Linked DNA regions of Arabidopsis thaliana. The protein of the gene in region 1 interacts with the protein of each later gene in a pairwise test. Each region holds a gene or a part of one and is shown on either strand. Other genes may lie near its edges.

Evidence for each region.
Region 2: the proteins of AT5G52420 (region 1) and VTI1B interact in a protein complementation assay, tested with the Arabidopsis thaliana proteins (one large-scale study listed by BioGRID).
Region 3: the proteins of AT5G52420 (region 1) and AT4G36850 interact in a protein complementation assay, tested with the Arabidopsis thaliana proteins (one large-scale study listed by BioGRID).
Region 4: the proteins of AT5G52420 (region 1) and AT3G59730 interact in a protein complementation assay, tested with the Arabidopsis thaliana proteins (one large-scale study listed by BioGRID).

Annotation. Positions count from the first base shown.
Region 1 is NC_003076.8:21,279,202-21,283,923, forward strand, and holds AT5G52420 (uncharacterized protein), read left to right. Parts: upstream 1-2,571; 5' UTR 2,572-2,615; coding exon 2,616-3,344; 3' UTR 3,345-3,605; downstream 3,606-4,722. Other genes in the region: AT5G52410 (oxidoreductase/transition metal ion-binding protein), read left to right, coding at 1-92; AT5G52430 (hydroxyproline-rich glycoprotein family protein), read right to left, coding at 3,892-4,722.
Region 2 is NC_003070.9:9,213,196-9,219,273, forward strand, and holds VTI1B (Vesicle transport v-SNARE family protein), read left to right. Parts: upstream 1-2,574; 5' UTR 2,575-2,907; coding exon 2,908-3,004; intron 3,005-3,664; coding exon 3,665-3,723; intron 3,724-3,812; coding exon 3,813-4,001; intron 4,002-4,177; coding exon 4,178-4,348; intron 4,349-4,445; coding exon 4,446-4,598; 3' UTR 4,599-4,815; downstream 4,816-6,078. Other genes in the region: AT1G26660 (Prefoldin chaperone subunit family protein), read left to right, coding at 25-132, 287-341, 499-570; AT1G26665 (Mediator complex, subunit Med10), read left to right, coding at 1,315-1,538, 1,628-1,708, 1,796-1,898, 1,982-2,071, 2,160-2,231. UniProt on the Arabidopsis thaliana protein: Together with either SYP41 or SYP61, required for membrane fusion; the fusion of phospholipid vesicles containing SYP41 or SYP61 and VTI12 is triggered by YKT61 and YKT62.
Region 3 is NC_003075.7:17,351,935-17,358,119, reverse strand, and holds AT4G36850 (PQ-loop repeat family protein / transmembrane family protein), read left to right. Parts: upstream 1-2,082; 5' UTR 2,083-2,297; coding exon 2,298-2,524; intron 2,525-2,613; coding exon 2,614-2,656; intron 2,657-2,744; coding exon 2,745-2,771; intron 2,772-2,944; coding exon 2,945-3,043; intron 3,044-3,115; coding exon 3,116-3,228; intron 3,229-3,554; coding exon 3,555-3,744; intron 3,745-3,833; coding exon 3,834-3,935; intron 3,936-4,022; coding exon 4,023-4,118; intron 4,119-4,213; coding exon 4,214-4,234; coding exon of another isoform or gene 4,235-4,249; exon of another isoform or gene 4,250-4,343; coding exon 4,344-4,493; coding exon of another isoform or gene 4,494-4,556; exon of another isoform or gene 4,557-4,594; coding exon 4,595-4,705; 3' UTR 4,706-4,829; downstream 4,830-6,185. Other genes in the region: AT4G36840 (Galactose oxidase/kelch repeat superfamily protein), read right to left, coding at 5,238-5,954.
Region 4 is NC_003074.8:22,063,384-22,068,805, reverse strand, and holds AT3G59730 (Concanavalin A-like lectin protein kinase family protein), read left to right. Parts: upstream 1-2,848; 5' UTR 2,849-2,926; coding exon 2,927-4,498; downstream 4,499-5,422. Other genes in the region: AT3G59740 (Concanavalin A-like lectin protein kinase family protein), read left to right, coding at 1-1,727.

The DNA.
Region 1 (4,722 bases):
TCAGAAATATCTCTATAGTGAAGGCTAAGGAGACTGTGGAAGAGTTTAAGGACAGAGTCGGTAAACTCGGCGAGAAATTCAAGTCGAAGTAGGTTTATGCGGTTTGGTTGAAGATTAAGATTTGTTAGATAAAGATGCAAAACAATGAACTGTCTTAAATTCCAAAACCGGAAAGCTATGAGCCCCAACTTAGATAGATGACTACACTGATTATATGATTGTGGTCTTCGCCAGTTTTTACTACTACCACCATTTAGTCTTTGAATCCATTCTACAAGCAATTGAAGAATAAATATGGTATTGGATCAACTTCAAATTTTGAAACATGATAGGAAATTAAGTTGAGTCTCACTAATTTTTCTTAATATCTGACCATATATTTAAAATTAGTTACCAAAACCTTGGCAGTAAATTTTTAGTTAGATATGATAAAAGATACTATTGTTTTGATTAAAAAAAGGTAGAGATGATGAGATTTCTATGTTGAATTCAAAACAATAAAATAAATATTAGCTAAGATATCACGAAGTGATAAAGATGAATCTTTGATTAAATCACATTAAAAGTTGAAAAACGATATCATAAGAGATTTTGTGTTCTCTATATGTAACGCTATCTGGCAACATTCTTTCTGCTTTCCAATAAGGTTCATGAAGAATGGGTAACACAATTTCGAATGCAACAACGTTATCATACGGTGAAACGACATGCTCAAATCCAACTTCTACGATTGCGAGCAGTTTCACGGAACATCCTCGCCTTCTTGCTATTCTGTCAAGATTGAGAATCTCGCACAACTTAACAATGAAAAATACCAATCTCGTCGTTTCACGGTAGGCGGGTATTACTGGTATGTAGCTATAATCTTGCTCTTATATATTACCATTTATGTTTTATGAGACATGTAACACATATAGACCATGATTTTACTATGTACACATTAGCTCCTGAAGGGTTAAATTAAATCTTCATCATAAGAAAAGAACATGAATCTTTCTTACTTTATGCAATAATATTTCTGTTAAAAAGAAAACCTGCAGGAAATTGATTATATATCCAAAAGGGAACGACGAGGACCATGGAAGTGGTTATATTTCAATGTACGTAGAAATAGACAGCACATCTGAAGTTTTTGCATATGTCAAGTTCTTCGTCTACAATAAGAAAGAACAAATGTACTTTACTATTCAAAGTTGTTGGTTTAAAACATATCTATATTATTCAATATTTATATTAACTATATAAGACTTGTTCATTTGTCACATATGTCACGTTGAATTACTCCATTTTTTCTAATAGATACTGAAGTAAAGCGTTTCAATGCTTTAAGAATGGTATGGGGATTCTCTCAAATGCTTCCTCTCCACTTATTCGAAAATCCAAAAAATGGATATATATTCGACGGGCAAAAATGCGAGTTTGGTGTTGAAGTGATGGTTGTTCCACCCCTTACCAATTGGGAAGTGATGTCTTTTGATCAGAAACTCTCACCATCCACATTCTCCTGGAGTGCCAATGGTTTCTCCTTATTGACAGAGAATCTTTATGTGTCAAACAACTTTTCAGTTGGAGGAAGAGAATGGTGAGGCTAATAAGTCATTGAATATATATACACGTCTATGTATGCTAAGTGTATACAAAATAATGTGACTTTTCTATAGGTGTTTGAAGATGTATCCAAAGGGAAGAGAGGCAGATGGCAAATGGTTGTCCTTATTTCTGCATATATATAGCTGATAGTGAAACCTTTTCGGAGGATGAGAAGATTTACGTGCATGCAGATCTCCGAGTATTATACCCACGTCCACATGTATACAACAATCACGTCACACAGAAACGTATAATTAACTTTGAAACACAATTTTCTATATTCTTGAATAAATCACTTAGTTGCTTTTTTCAAGTCTTAACTAAATTTTCAATACCTTACATATATTTATTTTTCTTGCAGTTAACGTCTGTTACAAGAAATCAACTCAAGGGTGGGGTTGCGAAGATTTTGCGGCTATAGCCATCGGGAGTGTAATTACTTGGACAATGACACTTTGACATTGGAGGTCGAATTTAAAGTTGTTTCTACAACCAAGTATTCTCACCCATGATCTAAGCTCTTCTTGTAGAATATCTACAATATTCCATATTCTACTACAAGTCTAGTAATCTACAATGCCTTGTTTCATACGATTTCTAGTAATTAGTTCCTTTTTAGTTAAATCAATTCTACAGTTTATGGTTCCGGATTCATTTCCTGCTAACTAATTATATCATTTTTTATAACTAGTAATCATTGAAGCTTATAATTGAAATCTATAACTACAAAGCCTAGTGCACTTACGTCCAGAAAGCCAAAATAATTAGGCTTCCTATTAACACATATATTTATATGTTTCTTAAGAACTTTTACGAAATTACCTGCATGTAGTTAAAATAATAAAATCTAAACTAATTGTGAGCACAACAATAATCCGCCACGTCTTCTAAACCTCTTCCATTCAAAACTCTTCACTATCCGCCACGTGTCCCCTTCTTCACACTCTTTTTATCTTCCTCCACCTCTAAAACTTTCTCACCACATTTTCCCGAGAAAACAAAAAAAAAAAACTTACACCAAAACGATGTCTGGAGGTGTCGGTCCAACGTACAACGACATAACCTTACCCAAAGAAGAAGAAGAAGAACATCAAACCCAATCCACCTCAACAGTATCATCCACCGGAAAACCCGCCGGATTCTTCTCATTCCGACAACTAAACATCCTCGCAATAATCATCGTTCTCTCCGCAAGTGGTCTCGTAACAATCCAAGATTTCATATTCACGATCCTCACTCTCATCTACTTCTTCTTCCTCTCGAAACTTATCTTCCCACCACACAACAATCCAAACCGTGACGCTCCTCTCACAAGCTCCACAAACAAAATCTTCCGTATCTATGTTACAGCGGCGGGGATCGTCGGGCTTATCATTCCGATCTGTTACATCTTCGAAGGAATCGTTGAGGATGATAAGAACGGTGTTAGCGCAGCTGCACCGCACGTGTTTCTTTTAGCGAGTCAGATTTTTATGGAAGGATTAGCGACCATGTTTGGCTTCTCTGCTCCGGCGAGGATTCTTGTTCCGATTGTTTACAACGCCAGGAGGGTTTTGACTCTTGTGGAGTGGATTATGAGTGAGTTCTCGAGGGAGGATGTGACGGGGACGGTTTCTGCGCGGCGGATGTATGCCGGGAAAGTTTTGGCGGCGGCTAATTTAGGGATTTGGTCGTTTAATCTCTTTGGTGTTTTGATTCCGGTTTATCTACCCAGAGCGTTTAAGAGGTATTACGGTTCTGATAAGGAGGATTGAAATCCCGGTTTAGTTCCGGTTCCAATAAGGAGAGTCAAAACCCGGTTTAATTCCTTTGTGGTTCACAGCTCTTGTTGTTTTCCCTTTTTGTTCTGTATATTATTTCGATGTTTTCTTTTGAACAATTCAGTTTATGTAGTAGTTCACAGTTGTATTAGATTTCTTACGATAATAACCGAATCTATGTTTCTGAAAGAACAGAAATGAAAATGTTTTAGTAATGATATAGAATAAGACCATTCACGATCTCAGTTCAAACAATATATTTGTATGAAACAGTAAAACAAGAAATAAACAATTTATATCAATGTAACAAGATTAGATGTAGGAGCTGATCCAAGAATATTCCAAAGTTTCCAACTACATGAGTACAGAAGTTAACTGCAAATCAAAGCTTTAAGCTTATTTATTCAGTGTGTATAAGTTGTTAGAACCCAAATCTCTTACCTTTTTTCACGATCCATGTTCAAGGTTTGTTACTTATAGGGTTTTATATCTCTGTCTTTGGTAATGAGGAAGAAGAAGAAGAGATGTCATTTTAATTTGGTTAGCTGACTCCAGATCGTAACCCCGGGAAGAAACTCCAGCTGTTTCCTGCAACCTTCTCGATATTCTCGTCTTTCGTGTTGTCGAATTTAAATTCTTTGCTAGATCCAATCGATGAGGAACTCAGCTTCTGAATTCTATGCTGTTCGTTCTCTCTGTCTCCTGACCTTTTCTCTATGTTTCTTCTTATGTCTGTTGATGAACTCTCCTCTGTTTCGATCCGGTCATTGTTGTTCATTCTGTCGTGTGATCGATTTAGCTTGCTTGCAAGACAACGTGCAACGTCTTCACCTGTTAACTCAAACGAAACTCTGTGATCTGCTACCATGACTTCAGAGCCATGATCCGAATTTGCCAGTGAAGCGACCTCAGAGATCTGATTTTGAAGAGGCCATGTGGTATTGTTGGGTGTTAAGTTTCCAGATACTATCTCTGGACCATTTGGTGTCAGAGCGCCTGAAGCCAAACCTGAACCATGCCCAACAGGTGTGATCGATCCAGAACCGAACCTCGATCCCCATTTACGAGCTGTAAAGTGCTCAAAACCCAAGAACTTTGGAGGCTCGCCTATTCGAAACTCAACCATGGGTGATTTACCAGGGTAAGGAGAAGATGTACCAGAGTTTGAAATCACTGACCCGGGAGAGATTAGATTACCACCACCAGGACTCCCCGGACACACCTGATTAGACCGAAACTCATAGTGCGAAGACGAAAACTTTTGATTCATCCCACTAGTACTATCCCTCCGAGTTAGCTCCAACGAAGAAGTAAGCAACTGAGCAAAGGGCACTTCAGGTGAAGAAGGTGTAGTTATATGGACTGATGATTC
Region 2 (6,078 bases), on another chromosome or scaffold:
ACTTGGGTGTTTGTTTGAGTTCAGGCCAGATACTCGGCACATATTCATGGATGTAGGCCTCGGCTTTTATGTGGAGTTCACACGGCAAGAAGCTCTTGACTATATAGCACAAAGGGAGGAAAGAACTCAAAAGTAAGAGAAATCTTTGCTTTTCTAGTTTTCTTGCTCCATGTACAAGGAAAATATGGTTGTATCATTGTATATGATGAATGAGTTCTCCGGTGGAATGCAGTATAGTGACTGAATGTTGATGCAATATAAATGTGGTTTTTTTTGTTTTTAACAGACAACTAGAAGAGTATACTGGTGTTATTACGCAGATCAAAGGGCGCATCAAACTGGTAAGTTCAAGTTCTTATCTTGCTTTGTGATAGTAGTCAATCATTTGTCTTATGAGGTTGAATTGGACTAGAAAATCACTATTGCGTAGGAACCCTGCATCAGACGGATATATGAAAGTGTCATCGGATAAGTATTAATGTTAAATTACCATTGCAGGCTCATTACCAGATTCAGCAAATACTCAATCTTCCTGAAGAGAATCCGTCATCCCGGCAACGTGCGTTTTAGTACACTACCTAGTGGAAAGTTGAGGATTTTCTCTTGCAGTCTTATCTTCTCGATTTGTTCTGCTTACTGTTTTGAGTTTTTAAAGCAGAGAATTAACTTAGTTTGTTCAATACTAACTCTTTCTCCGGAATGGACCAAACTGTTGGTGTTAGATAAACATATCGATTAAGCAATCAAAACTTTATAGAATGACTATTGTTGTGGGGGTGAATAGTGAATCGCACTCTGTTAAATCTGCCATTTCTATTTTAAATATTAATAATCACATGTTAGAACTTAGAAGATCATTAACAGTTTAACACAGCTGATGAAGAATGAAATAAAAGTATGAACGAAACAGATACAAGATAATGATATTCCACGTCAGCAAAGTGTCCAAATATCTTCCGCTTCCCTGTCTTCGTCGGTCCCTTTTCGGTTTTCACGGTAAGGCTCGGAGGAAAACCTAATTCGTCCGGAGAATCTCCACCTCACTCTCGCCAAACGCATCTCTGTTGTAGGTAAGTCACGGATCTTCATTCTACGCTAATTGTTATTGTTATCGTTATTCTTGATCTGGGCGTTTTTGTGGAATTTGCATCTAAAATTAGAAATTTGGATACCAAAATCCACTCCAATTGAATAAGGTTTCTGAAGAATTTTCGTTTGATTTTGAGATCGAAAATTGCGTTTTCTCGTTTTTGTTTTGTTATCGCTAACGCATCAGGTCATATATCTCAAGTTTATATTTTGTGGCAGCTTGTGATGGATCCAACACAGAACACAAGTGCAGGGATTGGTGGGAGCAATGGTACAATCAGATATCAAACCAATGATGGGACTTCAACTGTGACCGTTGCTGATGATTCAAAGGAGAATCTTTCCCAAGTCATAAACTCTATTGAGAAAACTTTAGGAGTCCTTCATCAGTTACACCTTACCGTCACTTCTTTCACACCCGCGTCTCAACTCCATCTCCTCCAGCGCCTGTAAGTAACTCCTCTACTCATCTGTGTTTATTGTTTTGGGTATTGTAACTATTGTTTGAATGAATATGTGTGTGTGTGTGTATTTGCAGTAACTCTCTTGTGATGGAGCTAGATAACATGACTAAGTTGTCTGAGAAATGCAACATTCAAATCCCCATGGAGGTTCTTAAGTGAGAAAACAAGTCCTTTTTGTTTTTAGTATGCACTTTGAAGATAGATACTTTTACTTGCTTACTTATGTTTGCGTTTTCGTATAGCTTGATTGATGATGGGAAGAACCCGGATGAGTTTACGAAAGATGTTCTTAATAGCTGCATAGCTAGAAATCAAGTTACTAAGGGCAAGACTGATGCTTTTAAGGTGACTCCTTTTCTTCTGATTCTTAATTTGTGTATGATTCTTAAGGTTACTGAGTCTCTTAATCAACATTTTGTTATAAATAGGATTTGAGAAAACATATTCTGGAGGAGCTTGAACAGAATTTCCCTGATGAAGTCGATATGTATAGAGAAATCCGTGCTAGTTCTGCTGCTGTAAGTTGTTAACTTCGACTAGTATTGTACATCTTCATTAATATATTATAGTAAGTCAAGGGGATTAAACAGTTTTGGTCATATTCAGGAAGCGAAACGGTTGGCGCAATCGCAAAGTGTGTTACCAAATGGGGATGCAAAGGTCAAGAATGAGCTATAAGAGCCCAAAGGATCCTTTTTATGTTTACCTTGTACTCTTGTAGAATATAATGACTGAGTCGATGAATGTGATGTAACACGAACAATCCCAAGTGGAATTTCTAATAATATCTGTTGGTTCTCTTCACCTGGCTAATATAGTTTGAGAATCTCTGCTTGTTCCCCCCATTTTTACTCGAGTGGACTATCTTACTCTTAGCCTCTGAGATCTCTTTGATTTCATGAGACTATCAAAGAATCCCACATAGTTACGCAAAACAGATTCGACTTCTATCAATGGATTTGTCTATTTCCTGGACGAGTAATCTTGGTTCTGCATAAAATGTACACTATTTCCGAGAGCTGAAAAAGTGAGAAAAGACACTTAGATTTCAATCTTAATTAACGGTTTGATTCGGTTTGGTTTGTCTCACCTACATTTGCATCGATTGCAGCATGGGGGACTTAATACGCAGTGGCTGACACGTGTCAATATAAAACGCACCGCTTTGTTTGATTGTTCCTCCTTGTCCCCGAGCAGAGAAATACAAAGGAAGAAGAAGAAGAGTTGTTTGATTATCTTTAAGCAAAGAGGAAACTGTTTTGCTTCTAGATCCGATCCAATCCAATCAAACAAAGGATCCGATTGATCAGAAAAAATCCACCAAATTTCTCAAGATCGAAACATATAATTGAAGATGAGCGACGTATTTGAAGGGTACGAGCGTCAATACTGCGAGCTCTCAACCAATCTCTCTAGAAAATGTCACTCTGCATCGGTTCTCTCCAACGGAGGTAAAATCCAGACGCTCCCGATTTCGGATCTTGAACGCGAGATCTTCGAATTTACCTGATTTTAGAAATTCGAATCTTCGAATTTGGGGTTATTGGAGCTTTTGAGCTGTGACAAGTAGCTGGTGGACTAGTGTTCTTTACTAATCGTCCTGACTTGTTTAGGATCTGACGAAGTTTTGTAACATTTAGGAATGTTGAGACATAGGATCTGTTTCTCATTGCTTGGATTAGAAGACGATAACCTAGTTAGGTCTAGATAGTTATGTAGTTGCATAGATTTATTAACTTGTTTCTCAATCTATTTCATCTAATTTTGTCCGAATTTGGGGGTATTTGTAAAGTAGAGGTGCATGAGTGTTTACTAATCGTTTTAGCTTGTTTACGATCTGACGAGTTCTGTAGTATCTGGGAATGTAATTTACTTGGATTGGTCAAGTAGTTTTGTGAAGAAATTAAGACTGAAGATAAGATCATAAGAACCTAGTTATGTAGCTGCAGAGGTTTATTGAGTTGGTGTTTTTTTTCATTTGTTTGTCAGTCTATGGTTACCACTGTCTTTCTTGGAGTTATAGTACATAGACATGCATGGAGTTGTTACATTTTGTGGTGCCATAGAACCAGAGTAGAGGTTTGATTAGATATTGTTGTGTGCTTTTATAGAGGAGAAGAAGGGGAAGATTGCTGAGATCAAGTCTGGAATAGACGAAGCTGATGTCTTGGTATTTGCATTTAACTTGCTTTAATGTTGTTACCGTTCTGTTCTTTCTTTTTTAAAATTAATATATATGCTTCTGTGGTTTTTTTGTAGATCCGGAAAATGGATCTTGAGGCAAGAAGTTTGCAGCCGAGTGCTAAAGCTGTGTGTCTTTCTAAACTAAGAGAGTATAAATCTGATCTGAACCAATTGAAGAAGGAATTCAAACGAGTCTCTTCCGCAGATGCTAAGCCGTCTTCCCGTGAAGAGTTGATGGAATCCGGAATGGCGGATCTGCATGCAGTAAGCTTCTAACTCCTAAATAGAAACTCTTGTTTTCTCATTATCTTAGTTGTCTTAATTGACTTGCATCAGTTAGGCTTCTTTGTCCTGAGGGGACCCTCCTTTATATTCATCTTCACACAAACTTTTAGATGGCAAAGACTTTGCTGTGATTTACATTATTGTCCATGTTCCAGGTATCTGCTGATCAAAGAGGAAGATTGGCAATGTCCGTGGAGAGGCTTGACCAATCAAGTGACAGAATCAGGGAGAGTAGAAGACTAATGCTGGAGACAGAAGAGGTTGGCATCTCAATTGTCCAAGATTTGAGTCAGCAACGCCAAACCCTCCTTCATGCGCACAACAAGGTACCGTCTACAATTGCTCGGTTTGGTATCTATCAGTGCCAATGATTTGTTTGAATTAGATCATTGAGAAGCTAACTTTTCTGATTTTGAATCACAGCTTCATGGTGTGGATGACGCCATTGACAAGAGCAAGAAGGTGTTGACGGCTATGTCAAGGAGAATGACTAGGAACAAATGGATCATTACATCGGTAATCGTGGCTCTCGTTCTCGCCATCATCTTGATCATCTCATACAAGCTTTCTCATTAATATACTCAAAAAACATTATTCATCGTGATTGTGTATATATATATGATGGTTGATTTACTTTGTAATGGCCCAAGTGGTTACTTGTATTTTTAAGTACGATGTTTGTATTGAAGTGGCAACACTTTTAACATTCATAAGGTTTCCCAAGTCTTTTCTTTTTTGTCTTTTTTTCCAAAAAAGTGGTACTATTTTATATAAAGCAGATGTTTCAAAAGTTACAACTGTGGAAACTTCCACTTACATCTCAAGTCCAACCTTTGAAAACTTACAACAATGTAATTCCAAAAAGAACAAACACTCCATTGCTCAAAACATAAGGTTTTCCAAGTCTTTACATGAGCCAAAGATCTATACTTATAATGTTTTAAGAAAACTAGGACACCTGACACATCCTTGCCGGACCAATCATCTTGCCGTGATCACCAGTCGCAGGCAGGAGACCCACTGTCACGTCAGAGCATGAAACAAAGGCCTCTCCTTCTATCTCTCTATTTAAAATAACATCAAACATTCACGACACCAAAAAATACACACAAGCCAAACATAACAAGTAAAACTATCCCCGAAACAAATAGTTTTATGCAGTCCCGGCCCGTCCATAACGCAGCTAGAGCATGTGTTTCTGTCGTGAATTATGTTTTCTATGATCTCAGCCCCTGTTATGTTTTAAACCACACGTTCTGGTCTTCAAACTCGTTAACCCATTCCACCCTATAAATCCCTTCTTCGTAAGCAGGGATAGATTGACGAGTGATTGAAAATAATCTTTAATGATCAAGAATTTCCTCCCATTCGCCGGAAATAATTCACTTAACCACCAAATGAAAGAGTTTTGAGATTAATTAATCTACTCTTTAAAATTTTAGGCATATACACTTGATTGATGTGATGACAAAATGATTTGAGTACTAATCAAGTACAATCACTACAAAAAAAATGTGTGTTTTTACATCATTTATTTTATATATTTTTATTAGTTATAAACTTATAATTGATGGCAAGAAAAACATTTACATCACTAAAAAAAGTGACTTTTGAAAGTAGTGATGCAAATATTTTGTATCGATTCTTGTAAATCGATCTTAACATATATCAATTACAAAAAATAATGTTAAAATTCGCATCATTTAATTTAAATGATGTTAATATTTGTAACATATATAATAATTTATGCATGCCAATATTTCTATTACTTGTAAACAATTGATGTTAAATTAGTTATCAGTTTTCATAATTGATTCAAATAATTGTGTGATTTGAAATAATTAATTTCTACATTAATTTAAAACATTGTAATTTCATAATTAATTTGTAGATACTAGTGCATTGAAAAGAAGCGAAAAAAGACGTCAGCAGTCTATAAGATGGATTAGCTTCATCTCCAAGGCATATAAACCCATTCGTGTCAATCACAAGTCACACCTTACAATTTCAAAAAAAGTTTCTGAAACTTGGTCTTTTGTGCTATCATTTTGATTCT
Region 3 (6,185 bases), on another chromosome or scaffold:
GACCTGTCTAACTAGATTAATATTATAGTATGCATGCTTGCCATCTGTTAATTAAAATACAGACATTGTGAAAAAATACACTCCATGCTCTCTATCTTTCTATCGTTTGTAAAATGATATTTTGTTGATCAAAACTACTATGGTCTACAAGATCGTGTAAAACAACATTCAAGTAACTTAGTATTATGGGAAGATGAGTTCTCTCGATCGAGATGTTCAGTCAATTCTCTAGAGTATAAAAAACGAAAACGTCTCAAGTCAATTGTCAATCATTAATTTCCAAATATAAATATTAGACATTATCAACAAATGATGATAAAGAGATACAAAAAACATTGTGAAGATGTGGGATATGAGGATAAACATAGAGAGATAGGATGATATATTCACACGTGTTTCCCACTTCCTCATCCAACTTGTCGCGGCGCCTCGTCGCCGTTTCTTTCTTCTCTCTTTGGTTTTTTTTTCTAAAACATTTTCTCTATCAAGCGTTTATGTTTCAACAAATTTTATTTAAGCTAATGTTTTTTCTTATAACCAAATCAAAATTTTATTCATCGATATAGAAATTAATGGTTTTTTGCTAATATTGAAATCTAATTTTAAAGTATATATTAAAAAGTTTTTGTTAAAAAAAAATGAGGATACTCATGTTGGAGAGGGAGAGCAAACGGATTCTTGATGTTTTTACGATCGATTAAAGTGAAGACGTTTTAGTGGACATGATATATTTCTTTGGTATGACATATTTTAAAAGTCACCTCTAAGAATTCAATTTTTTCTAGATATTATCGTCATTCGTCAACATTATATCGTATGATGTTAACAAAATTAATGGTTGGTAGAGTACTCGTCATTTAGAATTAGGGCTAATGAATTGATCGTTCATAATGTCTTGTCGAGGGCAAAAACGACGTAACGTGACAAAACGTATTAACCTTTGTTTCTTTTTCTTTTTTTTTTGTTATTTCAGAATTCATGAACCAGAGAATTTCATTAATCCACTAGCTAATCTTGAAATTATTCTATTGCCTTTTGAAAAAGTTGTAAAGTATAATTTGAAGGTTGCAAAATTTTAATTTTGGTTTTTAGTGTTTGAGAAACAAATCAAAACTGCAACATTATATACAGAACTATCTTCCCTTTTTTTTTTAACTAACTTGAAATTTATGCAAAACAGTTCACCAAGGTGTCATTAAAAGATGTCATTAAATTCGAAAGTCGGTTCATGAAAGATGTCGTCATCATCGTAACATGATGCCACCACGCAGTCAGCACTAAGCAGGCTATTTGGCTTTGGCACCTTCATTCAAAAATAAAATAAATTTTAAATTCCTGGTTCAGTAAAAATGTGGACCGTTGTTTTGGGGGCAGCCAATCGCACGAATATGGTGGCTACGCCACAAAGTTACAAATGTACAACTTTGTCGGGCTTTTCCAGATTCATTAACATCAATAGGCAAGTAAACTACAAAATGCAAGTTGCTTAATCAATAATGTTGTAAAGCTTTTACAGCATCTTTTATACCATAAAATGTCAACATCATGGAGTTTACTCCAATTAAGTTCTCGTACACTTTGATTTGAATAATCAGTACAAAACATAACCAAACCGGATTAGATGTGGTTTTAACTATTGCATACATTTTCGGCCAATGGATTAGGATTACTGAAAGAACATTAAAAACATATATGTATGACGACGAAAACAATTTCTTAGGGCTTAGGTTATATATATTTCGCAGAAATGTATACCAAAATGTTGGAGAATCGTGAAAAAGAATATACCTAATAAACCGTACTAAAAAGGCTGAACATCTGAGATTCAGCAGAGCATCAAAAGATAAAAGAGAATATGCTCATTAATCATAGGTCGACTGTTTTCTCCACCCTCCAACTTTAATTTTTGAAATCTCTTGTTTTTATGTGCCCTTGATAATTATTAATCACCTTAACATTAACAACTTGTTAATGCTTGTTAATCCAAAAGTAAAGCAATCAAAGAACTATATTATAAGATTAATAATGTAATGATTCGAAACATTACAATAAAGTATAACGTAACAAGCTTAGATATGGTGGGTAAAATATACGAAGTAAAATAAATGGTCCCAAGTATATGAATGAATACATGTATTTACAGATATCTCTCTCCCCTATCTCCTTATGATTTGTCATTTTCCTCACCCATAATCCTATAAAATAATCAAGAACCTCCGAGGGAGAGAGACATACACACAGACAGAGTAAGACATATATAACATATATAGAGAGAGAAGACCTAAACAAAGAGACATATGGTGTCTTTAGGTTACTGCTTGAAGGAGAAGAAGACATGCGTGAGATGGGTAGAGATATACTTCGATGACTGTCTCTGTAACTTAAACGACGACGTTTCATTCGCACTTGGAATCGCTAGCCTCCTCTGTTGGGGAGTCGCAGAGATTCCTCAGGTCATCACTAACTTCCGTACAAAGTCAAGTAACGGTGTCTCTCTCTCCTTCCTCCTCGCTTGGGTCGCCGGGTCCGTACACCATCTCAAGTTCTTCTTTGTTATCATAATCTCTCTCTTTCCCTAACGTTATTTTATATGAATTTTATCAATCGGTGCAGTGATATCTTCAATCTCGTCGGTTGTCTTCTTGAACCAGCTACTGTAAGATACACAAAACATCTATAGTACATAATTATTTTCATGTCTTATTATTGTTTTCTCATTGTTTATCTTATTTTGAATTGTGTAGTTGCCGACTCAGTTCTACACAGCCTTGGTAACATCACCGTCTTCTCGCCGCATAAATAAACATATGTCGCTACAAAGCTTACGTGTCGCTTCTATTAAAATTAGCGTCAATTGTTCGGATTTATTTATTTTATTCGACCGCTTTATTTTATTCTATTTACAAATCAGCCCCGTAACTATTTTTTTTTCCTCTCTCTATAGCTTTACACAGTGAGCACTGTAGTATTGGTGATCCAGACTATTTACTACGATTACATCTACAAACTTTGTAGACATAGACGTACCAAGATTTGTCAAAAGGTAATAATTATAAGAGTTGATTACATTTTTAGGTGTTGATTATCATAATGAGGGTTTTTTTTTTTTGTTAAGGATGAGGAAGATGAAGAGAAGAGACCATTGAAACCACCAAAGACGATGGGATCTGCTATTTCCATCCCAGGAGGATCTTACAAAGATTCTTCTCGGAGAGAGTTCTATTACACGTACGGATTATTAAACATAAATCATATTTTATTTACTCTAATTTGTCTACAAATAAGTTAAAGTTTGTGACAAAAGCTTCGTATATTTTATTATTATATGCTTTCCCCTGCATACTCTGTTTTTTCTTGTCGTTTTCTCAAGCTTTTGAAGAAACAGAGGGAAAGGGTAACGATTTTTTTCATAAAATAATTACATAATTGCTGATAAAATCTCGAACCTATCCTTTAGCTTTCTCAATTTTCTTATATCATAGAATATATATGTCCGCTCTCTATATTCAATTGTGACAACTGACAAGTGGTTTTGCGGGGGGCTATTTGTTCAGGTCGGCGAGATCGTTGGCCGGAAGTGGCACACCTCCCTTAAGAACATCGTATTTTCGAGTGGCTAAGAGTGGCCCTTCGGCTCTGGCAATCGACAATGATGGTTCGTCATCGGACGAAGATGAGACAATGTCGACGTGTCCTGTCATAACGGCTAAAACCATTACAAAACCAAGGCCAATACCTAGACAGGTTTGTAATTTCTTTTTAACTTAGCCAACTTAAAATCACTTTAAGCTAAGAGAACAAATATTGACCCATTTTGGACTTCTTTTTCTCAGGCAGGTTTTGGAACGTTTTTGGCTGCATCGGCTAGTCTTCCGCTTCAGGCAAAGAGCTTAGCGGAAAAATATGCACATGCTTCAAGCAGACGGCTTCTAAACGTGTGTGACACATATAGCATTTTGTTGTTTTAAAGGTATGAGTGAAATGCGAGAAAATGATATCAAAACATTGTTGTCTTTGTGCAGGAAAGAATAGTAGAGCATAGCGCGTTGGGACAATGGTTGGGATGGCTAATGGCCGCCATTTACATGGGCGGTCGCATTCCTCAGATTTGGCTCAACGTAAGCCATCTTTAGCAAATCTTGATTTACTTCTTCTTGGCTTCTTGTTTATGATATTGGATACTAATCTTTTTTTTTTTTTTCTCTACAACTAGATCAAAAGAGGAAGCGTCGAGGTAAAAAAAAACTAAAACTACAAGTCAACCAACAGATATTCCCTTATGTATACTTTAAATGTTATTGTGGTATGCGATCTAACAAACAGTATGTTTTGATATTTGGCAGGGTTTGAATCCACTGATGTTCATCTTCGCGCTAGTAGCCAATGCAACATATGTTGGTAGTATTCTTGTCCGAACAACTGAATGGGACAACATCAAACCAAACCTTCCTTGGTTGCTTGATGCTATTGTCTGCGTCGTACTAGATCTATTTGTATCCTTTTCTAACCATTTGCACAGTCTCAACGTGGAAAACAAGTTATCTTATTGCCATTAGGTTGAGCTTTGCTACCTTAATTCGAAAAATCAAAACAGATAATACTGCAGTATATCTACTACAAGTATTGCAGGATAAAGAGCTTGGAAAGCAGAGAAGAAGACGCCTATGGAGACTATGTGGAAGCAAGCAAAACTTTTGTTTCGTGAATCACTATTTATGTTACAAGGATAATTTGATTTTCTTTTGATCTTAAGTATTATTGATTTCATAGTGTATGCATATAAAACCTAATTATTATATGTTCACTAAAACTGCTTTCTGTTTCCTCAAAATCTATACGCAACAAAAGCAGCATTTTCCTTCCACACAAAAACCTGGTCACCAAGATTCTCCTTGGGTGTGATCCTTATAGGAGGAGTCCAAGATTAGTTTTCTGCAGCTCCTACACACTCATGAGCAGCTGAAGCATCATGCATGCTGCTATAGCAGTTGAGGATGCACAAGCATAGAGAGGCTTAGCTTCTAGAAGGGTCAAGATACGTTGGTTTTACCTGTTATGTTGGTAACGAGTCATTAATGAGAATTCAGCATCAAATTCCACCACATACCTCTTAAAAGAAAGAGGCTCTAACTGTTATGTTGTTACTGTTAAATGATTAATTGCCTACTATATGCTTATATCCCACAATCTGATTCGTTGAGTAATATGCAATACAAATAAATATTGGAATGAATATATCACAAATGGACAGAAGCAGAAAATAAGACATCAACGCTATATGAGTTTGAGAGAGGATCAAGTTTGAAGACAACATTGGACCACTCAATCTTCCCCCAAATCTCACCTCCCTCGCGCCTCTCCATGGAAATCTCGGCAGACCAAAGCTCCACACACTCAGGGTCTCCAATATGTGCGTTCCCGAAGATGACAATGTTCCCAGCAGAGTTACTAGAGATTTTTCTAATATCATATTTGACGTTGGTCTTTGACGGTCGTTTATCAGAGGTACGTCTGAAGATGTATCTTGTACCAGAGAGATACAATTGTAGCTGTTCCAAACCTTTTACCTCTTTCCAGTCCAACTCATCTGGTTGGCACCATAGTATTCTACCGCGAGTAGCACGACAGTATAGTAATTTCCCAATGACACACCAATCGTGTCTACTTCCTACCTTAGAATCTTTTTTTCCGCTTTTCCAGATTCTACCTTCACTTGGCAAGAAGCTAAAGCTTTGGTCCTCCTCATCCACGGCGTAAACCTTCTTCTCCTCTATCACCACACTTTGGTTGATACTATGGGCCATCTTCGGCGTATTAAATATACCCCAAGTTTGGTAAACTGGATCGAATACCTCCGCCCAGTTTGAGGAATCAGCGTCCTCTGGGCACCCTCCAAAAACGTAGATCTTCCCGTCTATGAGGCTTGCCGATGCGGAAGCACGAGCCATCTTCATAGACGGGACGCGGTGCCATGTCTGAGAAAAACAGTTGAGGAACAAGACATCGGAAGTGGGATTGCCGTTTATGATTCCACCGATTACATAACATAGATCCCCCAATTCACTACCACAAAAGAAGATGATTCCGGAGCCTGATAGGGGTGCGATGGGACCGGCCTCAGTCGACGACTACCCGTAAGGACGAACCAGCGAGGGGTTGGATCAGGTAAGATGCGCAAGCAGACG
Region 4 (5,422 bases), on another chromosome or scaffold:
ACGGTATGGCTTTCGTTTTCTCTCCTACAAGAGGCCTTCCCGGAGCTTCCCCCGATCAATACCTGGGAATCTTTAACGAGACAAACAACGGTAAAGCCTCGAATAACGTTATAGCTATCGAGTTAGATATACGAAAAGACGAAGAGTTTGGAGATATTGATGATAATCATGTTGGGATTAACATTAATGGTTTGACATCTGTTGCCTCTGCTTCTGCTGGTTACTATGATGATGAAGATGGAAACTTCAAAAAGCTTTCTTTGATCAGCACAAAGGTAATGAGGCTTTCCATCGTTTATAGTCACACCGATAAACAGCTCAATGTTACTTTATTACCTGCTGAAATCTCTGTTCCGCCACAAAAATCGCTCTTGTCTTTGAACCGAGATCTCTCGCCCTATTTTTTGGAGGAGACGTACTTGGGTTTCACGGCATCGACCGGGTCGATCGGAGCACTCTATTATGTGATGCAATTTTCCTATGAAGAAGGAGTTATATATCCAGCATGGGACCTTGGCGTAATCCCAACCCTTCCTCCATATCCAAAGAAGTCGTATGATAGAACACGGAGGATTTTAGCGGTCTGCTTAACGTTGGCCGTGTTCACTGCATTAGTCGCTTCCGGAATAGGTTTTGTCTTTTATGTGAGGCATAAGAAGGTTAAGGAGGTTCTTGAAGAATGGGAGATTCAGAATGGACCTCATAGGTTTTCTTATAAGGAGCTTTTCAATGCCACAAAGGGTTTCAAAGAGAAACAACTTCTTGGGAAAGGAGGCTTTGGTCAAGTCTACAAAGGAATGCTTCCGGGTTCCGATGCAGAGATCGCTGTAAAACGGACTTCTCATGATTCAAGACAAGGGATGAGCGAATTTCTAGCCGAGATATCGACCATTGGTCGTCTCAGACATCCAAATCTAGTCAGGCTTTTGGGATATTGTAAGCATAAAGAGAATCTCTACTTAGTTTATGACTTTATGCCTAATGGAAGCCTTGACAGGTGTCTAACCCGTAGCAACACGAATGAAAATCAAGAACGGCTTACTTGGGAACAACGTTTCAAGATCATCAAAGACGTTGCAACTGCTCTACTACACCTGCATCAAGAATGGGTACAAGTCATCGTTCATCGAGATATAAAACCGGCTAATGTTCTACTCGACCACGGCATGAATGCGAGGCTCGGGGATTTCGGATTGGCGAAGCTGTATGATCAGGGATTTGATCCTCAGACATCTAGAGTAGCGGGAACATTAGGTTATATTGCACCTGAGCTCTTAAGAACAGGAAGAGCAACCACAAGCACAGATGTTTACGCCTTTGGGTTGGTTATGCTTGAAGTCGTTTGTGGTAGAAGATTGATTGAGAGACGTGCAGCAGAAAATGAAGCGGTTCTTGTTGATTGGATTTTAGAGCTTTGGGAAAGTGGGAAACTTTTCGATGCAGCTGAGGAAAGTATTCGTCAAGAACAAAACAGAGGAGAAATTGAGCTTGTTTTGAAGCTAGGTCTGTTGTGTGCACATCACACTGAATTGATTAGACCGAACATGAGTGCGGTTTTGCAGATCTTGAATGGCGTTTCGCATCTTCCCAATAATCTTCTTGATGTTGTTAGGGCTGAGAGATTGAGAGGAATTCCTGAGACATCAATGGAAGTACTACTTGGTCTTGATCTGAATTCTTTTGGTACAATGACGTTGACGAATTCTTTTGTGTCCCATGGACGCTGAAACCATAAAAATAAGTTAGTTTTGATCAAACATTTATATTCCATCGGGAGCTTCTGTATCCGTCTATTTGATAAATGAGTACATGTTTCTGTATCTTTGAATCATGAATGCCTTCCAATTCATCCCTAAATTTCTAGGGTTTACTTTTAGGGTTATAATATGTTTGTTTCATTCTTGCTTTCAAAGTAATCTTGTTCGAATTTGTTTATAAAACCAAATTTTCAAGAGCAATGACTTATAACTTAATTAACTTTTTTTTTTCTGTAGACCAATACAAAATCTGTTAAACTTTACATTAAAACATGTCAAAAAACTTATTTTTTTTACATTTTATGGTCAACACGTTGGTTGTTAAACTTACATTGTTTATCCATTTCTACGCTCCGTAATGTTCGACGGATTAGGTTGTAGAAAAGATAAGAGAAGCTTTTTTGACCTTTTTATTTCTTTGGTAGAGATCTGAGAAGAAAAGTTTTTTTGATTATTGCTTATTATGCTTTCCACTATAATCGCTATTTAATCTTAGCAAGAATTAGAAGATTTGTTTTCTTATAATTGATTTACGACTTTATCTTGGCCATGCACAGTGCGTAATTACTAAATAGTGTACATGTGTTTTTTCTCTCTTAAGTTTGCTTACTTATCTTAGTTCGTTGGCCGCATATAACATGAATATTCATTAGATAAATAATTAACAGCAATAGGTAAACAGCAACAATAACAATAGTTTAAGTCCTAAGACTAATCAACACATTAATGGAACGATAAGAAGAGATTCAAGAGAATAATTAACAATAATGTTTTGTAAAAAGAAGAAAAAAAATACAAAAAGCAAATAGGATGTCATAATCTCATAACCAATATAGCAAAATTTCAGTAGTAAAATAGGTTTGCAAACCTAACATGGGTCCGCTTCTACACTCTGACAATCCCACAATAATTGCTATTATTAATTGAAAAATGATCAGAAGATTATTTGTTTATTGTGTTGCGGTTTGATCATCTAGGCCATGTGGGTAATTAAATACAAACTACATATGTTTATGACATGACCAGTTTCGTTCACATTATATTGGCTTGATCATATTCATACAGTTTTACTTATTTTTATGTTGTATCTTCTTACATAATTCTTCTGATAAATATCACATTACGATCAAAACCTTCCCATAAGCCAAAAAAAAAAAACGAACAAGAACATGTTTAGTGAAGTCAAAGTCTTACAAATAGTTCTTGTTCAGTGGCTTACTCTGTTTTCATTTACTTACAACTCCCATGGCACATATATCCTGGATGGATCTGCAGTTTTCAACGAAAATAGTTACTTGGTTTTAACGAACACCACGAAGCATTCCTACGGTCAAGCTTTTGACAACACAACATTTGAAATGAAGGACCAGTCTTTCTCCATCAACTTCTTCTTCGCTATTGTCCCTGAGCATAAGCAGCAAGGCTCTCACGGTATGACTTTCGCTTTTTCTCCTACAAGAGGCCTTCCCGGAGCTTCCTCCGATCAGTACCTCGGATTATTCAACAAAACAAACAACGGTAAAACTTCGAATCACGTGATAGCTATAGAGTTAGATATACATAAAGACGAAGAGTTTGAAGATATTGATGATAACCATGTTGGGATTAACATTAATGGCTTGAGATCTGTTGCCTCTGCTTCTGCTGGTTACTATGATGATAATGATGGAAGTTTCAAAAATCTTTCTTTGATCAGCGGAAAGTTAATGCGGCTTTCGATCGTTTATAGTCATCCGGATACAAAGCTCGATGTTACCTTATGCCCTGCTGAGTTTCTTGTTCCGCCACGCAAACCACTTTTGTCATTAAACCGAGATCTCTCGCAGTATGTTTTGAAACACATGCATATTGGCTTCACAGCATCTACGGGATCCATTAGAGCGCTCCATTATATGGTGCTGGTGTACACATATCCTGAAGCAGTCTATCAACCGTTGGAGTTCGGAAGAGTCCCCACCCTTCCTCCATATCCGAAGAAACCGTCTGACAGATTAAGGACGGTTTTGGCGGTCTGCTTAACGCTGGCCTTGTTTGCTGTGTTTCTCGCCTCAGGAATCGGTTTCGTCTTCTATTTGAGGCATAAGAAGGTTAAGGAGGTTCTTGAGGAATGGGAGATTCAATGTGGACCTCATAGGTTTTCTTATAAGGAGCTTTTCAATGCCACAAAGGGTTTCAAAGAGAAACAACTTCTTGGGAAAGGAGGCTTTGGTCAAGTCTACAAAGGAACACTTCCGGGTTCCGATGCAGAGATCGCTGTCAAACGGACTTCTCATGATTCAAGACAGGGGATGAGCGAGTTTCTAGCCGAGATATCGACCATTGGTCGTCTCAGACATCCAAATCTAGTCAGGCTTTTGGGATATTGTAAGCATAAAGAGAATCTCTACTTAGTTTATGATTTTATGCCTAATGGAAGCCTTGACAAGTATTTAAACCGTAGCAACACGAATGAGAATCAAGAACGGCTCACTTGGGAACAACGTTTCAAGATCATCAAAGACGTTGCATCTGCTCTACTCCACCTGCATCAAGAATGGGTTCAAGTCATCATTCATAGAGATATCAAACCGGCTAATGTTCTAATCGACCACGACATGAATGCGAGGCTCGGGGATTTCGGACTGGCGAAGCTGTATGATCAGGGATTTGATCCTCAGACATCGAGAGTTGCAGGAACATTCGGGTATATCGCACCAGAGTTTCTAAGAACAGGAAGAGCTGTTAGAGTAAAATTCTTTTAGAGGTAATGGAGAAAGTGTTTAAGTGTTTTGAGAGAGTTTTTTAGGAAATAGAACTTTTATTACTTTGCTTTAAACTTGAATACAACTTCACAACATTACAACATTTGAGAGGGGGAGGAGGTATTTATAGCCTCCAAACTACAAAATATCTAAAATATTTTAATCCTAAGTCTAGAGAGTTCTTACATAAGATCTAGATTACATTATTCAAATTATCTAGATTATTCTATTAGAGTATCTAGATTTTTATGTTTAAGGAGGTGGAAGATGATTCTAGAAAATTTCTAGAATCCTTTAAGGAGGTGGAAATGATGATATTTCTAGAGAAAACTCTAGAACTTGGATTTGGCCATAATTAATTATTGGATAATTGATCCAATAATTAAACTTGATTCAAAATCAAGTTTAACTTTCAACACCCCCTCTTAAACTTGATTTTGCTACTCCAAGCAAACTCCTCATCTTGATAAAGTCTTCACGCTTGAGAGGCTTGGTAAAAATATCGGCTACTTGATCATGTGTCTTCACATACTCTAATTGCACGTCCTTCTTGCTAACACACTCTCTAATGTAGTGATAGCGTGTGTCAATGTGTTTACTTCGATCATGGAAGACCGGGTTCTTCGCCAAAGCTATTGCCGACTTGTTGTCCACAAAGATCTTCGTTGGTTCCTCTTGTGGTAAGCTTAACTCTTTCAAGAGGTTTCTTAACCAAATAGCATGGCATACAACAAGCTTGTAATCACTAGTAGTTGAATAATGTAAGCCAAAGTTTACGGTACCTTTGATATAGCGAAGAATCCTTTTTGCCGCTTTGAAATGAGTTGTTGTTGGATGCTCCATGTAACGACTAACAACTCCGACCGCATATAAAATATCGGGCCTTGTGCATGTTAAGTATCTCAAGCTTCCAACCAAGCTCTT